2 linked regions of the Macaca fascicularis genome follow. The protein of the gene in region 2 interacts with the protein of the main gene of each other region in a pairwise test. Links are inferred from orthologs where the notes say so. Each region holds a gene or a part of one and is shown on either strand. Other genes may lie near its edges.

Region 1 (4,492 bases), on a different chromosome or scaffold from region 2:
ATAATCAAGTGCCCTCACATATATTACCTCACTCGATCTACACAACAAACTTGTAAGGTGTATTTCATTAACCCTTTTTCCAAAAGTTGAAACAGATGCTCAGAGAGGTTAAACTACTTGTTCTAATAAGACTTCGGCTAACACAGTTTATCATCCTTGGTGCCCTTCCTCCTCACCCCCAAGCCTCCTCTCAAAAATTCTCCTCCTCAGTTCCATGAAAATGAAGAGTTCAGGCTGGCGTTTCTCTTTTTACCAGCTCCCAGCATGCCTATGCAGGATATAACCCTATCATAACATATTTATGACACAAAGAATATGTTACTTGTGGAAGAACAAAAGCAGGTAACAAATGGTTAACTTCACACAGAGCAGTTGGAAAACTGCCCATGGGCCAGGTGTGGTGGCTCATGCCTGTAATCCCCACACTTTGGGAGGCCGAGGCACGCAGACTGCTTGAGCCTAGGAGTTTGAGACCAGCCTGGACAACATGACAAGACCCTGTCTCTACAAAAGGCACAAAAATTAGACAAGCATGGTGGTGTGCACCTGTTGTCCCAACTACTCAGGAGGCTGAGGTGGGAGATGGCTTGAGTCTGGGAGGTGGAGGTTGCATTGAGCCAAGATTGTGCCACTGCACTCAAGCCTGGCAACAGAGTGGGACCCTGTCAAGAAAGGAAAGGAAAGGAAAGGAAGGGAGGGGAGGGGAGGGGAGGGGAGGGGAGGGGAGGGGAGGGGAGGGGAGGGGAGGGAAGGTTGCATTGAGCCAAGATTGGGCCACTGCACTCAAGCCTGGCAACAGAGTGGGACCCTGTCAAGAAAGGAAAGGAAAGGAAGGGAGGGGAGGAGAGGGGAGGGGAAGGGAGGGGAGGGGAGGGGAGGGAAGGGGAGGGAAGGGAAGGGAAGAGAAGGGAGGAAGGGAGGAAGGAAACTGCCCATGTACCTTGTTTTATACTCAAAGAATTTTCTAGAAAACATGGAAGACCTCACATATAGTAGGGGGCTTTACTCTCCATTTATAGACTTCTGTACTATAACAGTAATTAATATACTCATTCCAGGCCGGGCGCGGTGGCTCACGCCTGTAATCCCAGCACTTTGGGAGGCTGAGGCAGGTGGATCACAAGGTCAGGAGATCGAGACCAGCCTGGCCAACATGGTGAAACCCCGTCTCTAATAAAAACACAAAAATTAGCTGGGCATGGTGGCACGTGCCTGTAATCCCAGCTACTTGGGAGGCTGAGGCAGGAGAATCGCTTGAACCTGGGAGGCGAAACTTGCAGTGAGCCAAGATTGTGCCACTGCACTCCAGCTTGGTGGCAGAGTGAAAAAAAGATACTCATTCTAGACCACAAAGCTCTGCAAAGCTGAGTCTAGAGCCCAAATCCTCCAACTCGATGGGTGCAGTTCTTTCTACAACAACACAGATTTAGTCACTCATCCAGTCCACGTTTATGAAGCGCCTATCTAATACCAGGTATTGCGCCAGACACTAGGGACGCGGGGGTGACATGCCAACAGCAGTCCTTGCCTGCACAGAGTCTCAAGAGCCCAGGGATTCTTACCACGACACAGACAGAAATGACTTCTGAATCACTGGCTGCCCCAGATGGGCACCACCCTCAAATTCATCAGAACAGAGAATCCCAAGCTGACCTTTGAACTATGGGCCGGCCTTGGACAGTAAACAGTATAAACGTCCAGGAGAGGGAGAAGCAGACAAGCGTTCCAGGCTTCACAGTCTTGTTTTCCAGTTTGTGGCACTCAGCCAGAGAGACAGGAAGTCCAAGCTGAGACATCACTGGCACCTGTGTTCGGTAGCCCATCCCTTAGGGTACCTTCTCCCCAAATCCCAAATCTCACCTCAAAAGCCACACGGTCTGACTGGTGTTGCCGCTCGGCCTCCTGAAGCTTGGCCAGTAAGTCCTGCACAGTCTTCCTCAAGCTCTCAACATCCTCATTTATACAGGTGTCCACCTACAGCCAGAGCGAGGAAGGGAAGAGGAAGCCATCAAGTTTCTGACTCAGTAATAAAAGTCCCCTCCCAGGCACACACTGGTTTGGACCATCTCGTCCAGACCACCCTCACAAAAGAACTGTCGTCACACAAGGGGAGAGTTACCTTAGGCAGCCAGGAATTCTGAGTTATTCAATGAAACATTGTCCTTTCATACCCTAAAGAACCCTGCTAGCCTCAAAACACCCAATTATTTTAGGACATGCTCAGTAGTATTTCACTTATGTATCCACTGATTGATTTCTTGGCGACTATGTGGCTGCTGTCTCTACGTGTGTGTCCTATTTCCCTCTATCCGCCTACAACTGTCTGAGAGCAGAGACCATGTTCCCCTTTGGACTACAGTTCCCACAGGACAGGGACTATGTCGCACCCATCACAAAGGGAGTGGTCCAAAAGCACATCCTTTACCATTCTCAGCTTTTGGCACGGAGAGCAGCATATAAAGGGTTACTGATGGATGGACAGGTTTATGGCAAAAGCATGCAATGAGTCCAGGAATCTGATTCGATGTGGAAAACGGTGTCTCATCGAGGTAACTGCTCAGTCTCTCCCAGACACACCCAACCGTGGGCTGGTGGTTAGGGATGAGCTAACACGTAGGGTCTCGCCCCCGTCTCTGCTGCACAGGCACCAGACACTTCGATTACGAACTCCCTGTGAGTTTGACAGAAAAATCTCTCCCAATCTTGCACAGTGGGAAGCAGCAACGCCTTCAAACCAGAGCTCAGAGCTCTCGGCTGGGAGGAGGGAGACAGGGTCCCAGTCTCTGCATTATCATCCTGTGGGTGACAATGAAGAAATGAAGTCCTGTGGGCCTTCATTTCTTTATCTGTGAGGCAGTAAGTACACTCCCTACCACACCCTGCCTTACAGGCTGCCTCAAAACCAGGTAAGATAACATCCGGTACAGCTTTGAGCTTGTGAGAAGAAAGAGGCCAAACAGATATTACCAGGTGTTATTGTAATTTGTTGCCAACAATGTATTTGCCAAATATGGTGATTCAAAAGAAGGAGAAAGTCCAAGCTTCACATCTAAAGCAAGTGGTTAAGAATCACAGCATTCCAAATCTAGATGTCATAAGTTATCCAGTCAATTTCCCTAAATCCTCACCTGAGCCAATGGGCAGGTGAAAATGTTTTAAAAGGCTCCTGGAACACAACTATTATGCACTTATTTCAAAGAGTGTTCTCATAAGGCTGTTTAATGGCATGGAAAACTTTCAGGAAAATATTATTTCATCATGTGATATAATATGAAGCAAAAAAGTAAGTTATAAAACTACATGTAGAGGCAGAAGCAATGAACTAGATTTTTTTTTTTTTTTTTTTTGAGACGGAGTCTCGCTCTGTCGCCCAGACTGGAGTGCAGTGGCGCGATCTCGGCTCACTGCAAGCTCCGCCTCCCGGGTTCCCGCCATTCTCCTGCCTCAGCCTCCGGAGTAGCTGGGACTACAGGCGCCCGCCACCACGCCCGGCTAATTTCTTTTTGTATTTTTAGTAGAGACGGGGTTTCACCGTGTTAGCCAGGATGGTCTCGATCTCCTGACCTCGTGATCCGCCCGCCTCGGCCTCCCAAAGTGCTGGGATTACAGGCTTGAGCCACCGCGCCCGGCGAACTAGATTTTAATACAGCAATTTAGATAGATCCTAAAAAACATGGTACCAGGGAAAATAAGAACAAGCTACTGGGTAGGCTGAGGTGGGAGGACTGCTTGAAGAAGATATAGCACAAGTTCATCACGTATATTGAAACATTTTACAGACATATTTAAAGCCATATATTGAATTCATTAGAGTGAGTGCCTCTTGCAGGAGGTGGAGAGGCAAAAAAAACAAAAAACAAAAACTAAAACCAGTGAGAGGACTTGACAGGACCCACGAGGACGATGTGCCATGAACTAATGGGTGGGTCTGATTCAACCTATACCTGAGGGCCAAAAACACCAAATGCCAAAACATACCCAACTAAAGAAACAAAAAAAAAAAACAATTATAAAGACATGCCACATACTGTACAATGTGAATATTATAAATATATATTTGCATTCAGGGAAAGATGAAATTTCACTGTGGTTTTTCTCTGAGTAGATTACAAGTGACATTTTTTTCTTCTTTCACTTTTCTGTGTTTCTGAATTTTCCAAATTTTCTACAGTATGAATGTTTTGTATTATATAATCACAAAAAAACATAAAAACACACTTTTTAAAAATACAGTCATGGTGGCCGGGTGCAGTGGCTCATGCCTGTAATCCTAACACTTTGGGAGGCCGAGGTGGGTGGATCACCTGAGGTCAGGAGTTCGAGACCAGCTTGGCCAACATGGTGAAACCCCATCTCTACTAAAAATACAAACATTAGCCAGGCGTGGTGGCTCATGCCTGTAGTCCCAGCTACTCAGGAGGCTGAGGCACGAGAATTGCTTGAACCCAGGAGGCGGAGGTTGCAGTGAGCCAAGATCACACCACTGCACTGC
Region 2 (4,592 bases):
GATCACTTGAGGTCAGGAATTCGAGACCTGCCTGGTCAATATGGTGAAACCCCATCTCTACTAAAAATACAAAAATCAGCTGGGTGTGTTGGTACATGCCTGTAGCCTCAGCTACCTGGGAGGCTGAGGTGGGAGAATCACTTGAAATGTGAGGCAGAGGTTGCAGTGAGTCGAAACCTTGCCATTGCACTCCAGCCTGGGTGACAGAGTGAGACCCTGTCGGAAATAAAAAGAAAAAATTCCCATATACCCCTATCATAAATTAATACATCAGCCACTTGTCGAGGCCTTGAGAGATTGGAGGAAGAGAGCAGAGCAAAAAATTCAGAATTAAGGCATTGTCAAGAAAGGAGAATAACACAAAGAGAAGCAACAGTGGGACTTACACAAATCCACTATTAGCACTTGTCTGAAGAATGGTAACAACGCAAGCTAACTGTATCCAATAATTTTACCCATCTCAGCTTTGCCAAGGATCAACCTTGGTCTACGCAGTTAGCAGGTTAAACTATACTGACAGGTCTGATTTCCAAGGGTTCCAAACTTGGCTCCTCCACGCTTTCCCCAAAAGAAAGGGAATCTCTTAGTTCTCTGGGTGAGTTCCCACTGCCATGTGCAGTTGATCCCCCTCTACCTACAGGTTCTGGGTGACATGCTGGACAAGTCTAAGGGAAGTAACATCAGCTCTACAGAAGAGGGGAGCACCAGCAGAAGCGACTGTGAATTCCAACAACCCTTACCAAGAGTTCAGCTCGTGCCTGTTCCCCTTGGGCCCGACGTCTCTTCTTTAAATCTTTCACTCTTTTTAAATGGTCAAGCTGGTTCTGGATTTGCTCCTGAGAAAAGCAAAACAGATGGGCAGTTCAAAACTAGGTAGACCTTAGCATCAGCATGGTACTTCTAATCACACATGGAGTCCACACACCTGATGCCAAGTATCCAGTTGGCACTTGTTCTCAGGCCACACTGCCACCCACAAGAGAAAGACTCAGGGCGCAGGGGCCAACAAGCCACTCATTTGGCAATTTGTGTCTATCTTAGCAGCCTGTCGCTTCAACCACTCAGCTACCTCGTCAGGATTATTTGTGTCTATCTTAAACAATGAATCATCTACCTGTCCCTGGTAGGATATCGCATGACTTAGCGGAACTGTGACTGGAGTAGGAGGCTTAGAGTTATGTTGTATTGTAGCTCTTCCACACAAGCATACTGTGAAAGTGACTTCTTATTTCCCTCATGTGTGAAATGGGCAAACACCATCTTCCCAACCTACTCAAGAGTTCTCACCAGAGTAAGTGAAAGAATATAGCTGAAAGGTCCATAAATGTTAAGTGATTAATTACACATGAATGTATTCATATTTAAACACGGACATAATTGTGTATGAATTCCTGAAGCCCTCAACATACAGAAAATACACAGTATCATGGACTCCTTGAAGGTCACCTTACAACTGTTTTATATGTAATATTTTGTTTCCACGTTTCTGTTTAGCTGTGCCAGTTCACAGAGGGCTCTGTGCATCACATGATTCCATAATCTTCCTCATAACTGTTATCTCCTGAGTCTCAGAGTGGTTAAATGACTTAAGCAGTGAAGAGCCTGTTCTTTTCTGTGAGTTTCTAGACCAGGACGTATTGCAGGAAAGTGCTGGGGAAATGCTTATAGACCAAGGAATGGGCATCGGTCAGTTAATGTCCGACTGCGTTTTGTCTGACAGCCGACGAGAGTACATGTGTCTCTACAGCTCGTCGATGTGCAAGCGATTTTATGCACTTCTTTTATACTGTCAAAAGCATGTCTCCGTGTACAATGTGTCCGTGAGACAGGAAACATGGGGGCACACAGAGAAAGGAGAGTGGGGGTGGGGAGACTTCTGGCTCCCTCGCCAGCTACAGGTTTTCCTCCAAATCTGAGTGCTGAGGCTCTGGAGCGGACAGAGAGGAAATGACGGCTGTGAACCACACGTCCGGCTCAGCCATTTTCTAGGCGGAAAAAGGGAAGCCCCTTTGGCTCTCTCCTCCCTTTGTCCGACTCGCGTTCCCGCCCTCCCGGATCCGCGCCCTCACCTTGAAGCCCTCCACTGCCTCCTCGAGCGGCAGCACGCTGTGGCCGCGGTGCTCGCGGGAGCGGTCGCACACCACGCAGATGGGCATCTGGTCCTCCTCGCAGTAGAGCTTCAGGGGCTCGCGGTGTTTCTCGCACACGCCCATCTCGCCGCCGGGCCCCGACGGCCGCTCGGTGCGCAGCTGCTTCACCAGCTGGGTCACGTTGGCCAGGTGCCGGTTGGGCCGCATGTGCCTCTGCGGGAAGGTCTCCCGGCACTGCGGGCACGACACGTTAGTCTCTGCCGTGCCCCAGCAGCGGGCGAGGCACGCGCAACAGATGTTATGGCCGCAGTCGAGCATCATGGGCTCTGCGAAGTACTGCAGGCACACGGGGCAGGTGGTCTCCTGCTGCAGGCACTCGGCCACGCTCCCGGAGGCCATGGCGCGGGCCTGCGGGGGCTCACGGGCATGGGCCCCGGCGCCGAGCTCTGCACGGAGCCCAACTCTCCGGCGCTCTCTCCCGTTCGCTGTTCCTGGGAGGCACCGGGCGGACGGAGGGCGGTGCCTCCCGGGCCCGTATCCCAGACGCGCCCGCGCACCGAAGGCTCAGAGTGGCCGGGCCGATCCCTGCGCCTGTGCCCCCTGAGCGAGTGCGGGAATACAGCCGGCTCACAGAGACTCGCGGCCACGTTACTGGGGCAGGAACGGGTAGCCAAGGGTCAGGATCCCAGGGCCAGGCGCGCAAAGCGCGCAAGACAACGTGGCCGCGTCCGAGCGGATCCCGGCGGCCGCGTAGACCCCACCCCGGCGCGAGCGGAAGAGGCGGCTCGGGGGGCGGGGCTTGGCCCGCGCTTATAGTGTGTGACAAGATTTCGTGGCCTCGGGGCCCGGGCTGCTTTCTCTAGAAAGGCCTGGGAGGCTCCGCCACTCTCCCTTGGGCGGGTCGCGCCGAAGCTCTAGCCTAGGGGACTGGTCACAAAAGCAGATGGTGCCACACGCTCCGGGCCTACAATCTTCCGCGACTGCCGGGCCCAGGCCCCTAGTGTTTAGTTGGGTTTCTTCTTGGTGCCCAGGTCTCAGCCCCTGCTAAAGATGGCTTTGGCCGCGCGCAGTGGCTCACGCCTGTAATCCCAGCATTTGGGAGGCCGAGGCGGGTGGATCACGAGGTCAGGAGATCGAGACTATCCTGGCCAACATGGTAAAACCGCATCTCTACTAAAAATAGAAAAATTAGCCGGGCGTGGTGGCAGGCGCCTGTAGTCCCAGCTACTTAGGAGGCTGAGGCAGCAGAATCGCTTGAACCCTGGAGGCGGAGGTTGCAGTGACCCGAGATCGCCACTGCACTCCAGCCTGGGCGACAGAGCGAGACTCCGTCTTGAAAAAAAAAGAAAAGAAGAAAGAAAGCTGGCTTTATATAGGTGCTGGGGAGCGCAGACATCTGGCTTCCCCAAGAGGCTGGAGGATGAGGAGGGTCACCGTCTGAGCCCACCTGATAGGTGAGGCCTTTTATTAAACAGACCCATTTGTAGGCACTTGCAGTTTTGTTTAGAAAAAGAAAGGTTTAATTATCAGATGGTAACATTTCTGTGTGGCAATAACAAGCCCAGCTCTGCTACCTCTCACTTGTGCCCAAGCAAGTTGGTTTACCATTCATTTACCTCAGTTTCTCCTCGTGTGAAATGGGGATGATAACTGTACCGCCGTAAAGAAGTAGATTTCGTTACATCTTTTACTTTTTGAACCATAAGGTTGTTTATCCATTAAAATAGTAACAAAATGCCCATTACATAGGGTTGTTGTATTGAGGAGCAACTAAAAATTGCTTGCTCCTTTCTGAAGTATAGAGAGACTAAGAATCCTACAGTGACCCAGGGTCTTGGAGTCCCACAATACTCGTTGTCTTATCATGCAGTAGACCTCCAGCATTTTTAAGTTGCTTTCTTATCCCTTGCTTGATGTCTCCTGCTTTTCTTTGAGATTTTCTCAATATTGTCCTGCTATCTGAGCAATACGGGCTTCTGCTTCCAGACCTTACTTGATTTTTATTTTATTTTTTCAAAGTGAAAGTACGTTTATTAAGAAAGTAAAGGAATAAAGAATGGCTACTCCATAGGCAAAGCAGCCCACATCATCACTTTAGAGTTCCCCTCTGGTCCTCTTCCCCATGGGACAAGAAGTCTGAGGGACTAAGTGCACTTGCCAACCCCAAACCCACATCCACCTTGCAACCATACTCTGAGTACCCAGTCGTTCAAATTCCAGTACCAAATAGCCCTAGCCCATTTCCAGAAAAACATAGCGTACTTGGGCCAGGTCACACAACAGTCCGGTCTTGGATTGAGATTGGGTCAACAATGCAATTTGTAAGAATTAAAGGATATGTCTCCTTTCGTTTACTCCAAAAAGGACTAATAAACATTACAATACAGTGCAGAAATATGAGAGATATACACAGGTAGATAAAGCTGCCCTTCATCTTCCCCCTTACTTGCAGGATGCAAGCCTTGAGTTTGGCTTTGTTTTTCAGAATTGATTGTGTTTATC

What was found. The genes of interacting proteins can lie anywhere in the genome.
Region 1: the proteins of TRIM27 (region 2) and TUFT1 interact in binary tests that used the Homo sapiens proteins (3 or more experiments, as listed by UniProt). The two-hybrid records come from large-scale screens. The link is inferred for Macaca fascicularis from reciprocal best matches to the Homo sapiens genes TRIM27 and TUFT1.

The regions. Positions count from the first base shown.
Region 1 is NC_088375.1:109,639,764-109,644,255, forward strand, and holds part of TUFT1 (tuftelin), read right to left. Parts: intron 2,536-4,492; exon of another isoform or gene 2,429-2,535; coding exon of another isoform or gene 2,426-2,428; intron 1,975-2,425; coding exon 1,861-1,974; intron 1-1,860. UniProt on the Homo sapiens protein: Involved in the structural organization of the epidermis. Involved in the mineralization and structural organization of enamel.
Region 2 is NC_088378.1:144,252,262-144,256,853, reverse strand, and holds the start of TRIM27 (zinc finger protein RFP), read right to left. Parts: upstream 2,841-4,592; 5' UTR 2,490-2,840; coding exon 2,070-2,489; intron 837-2,069; coding exon 741-836; intron 1-740. UniProt on the Homo sapiens protein: E3 ubiquitin-protein ligase that mediates ubiquitination of various substrates and thereby plays a role in diffent processes including proliferation, innate immunity, apoptosis, immune response or autophagy.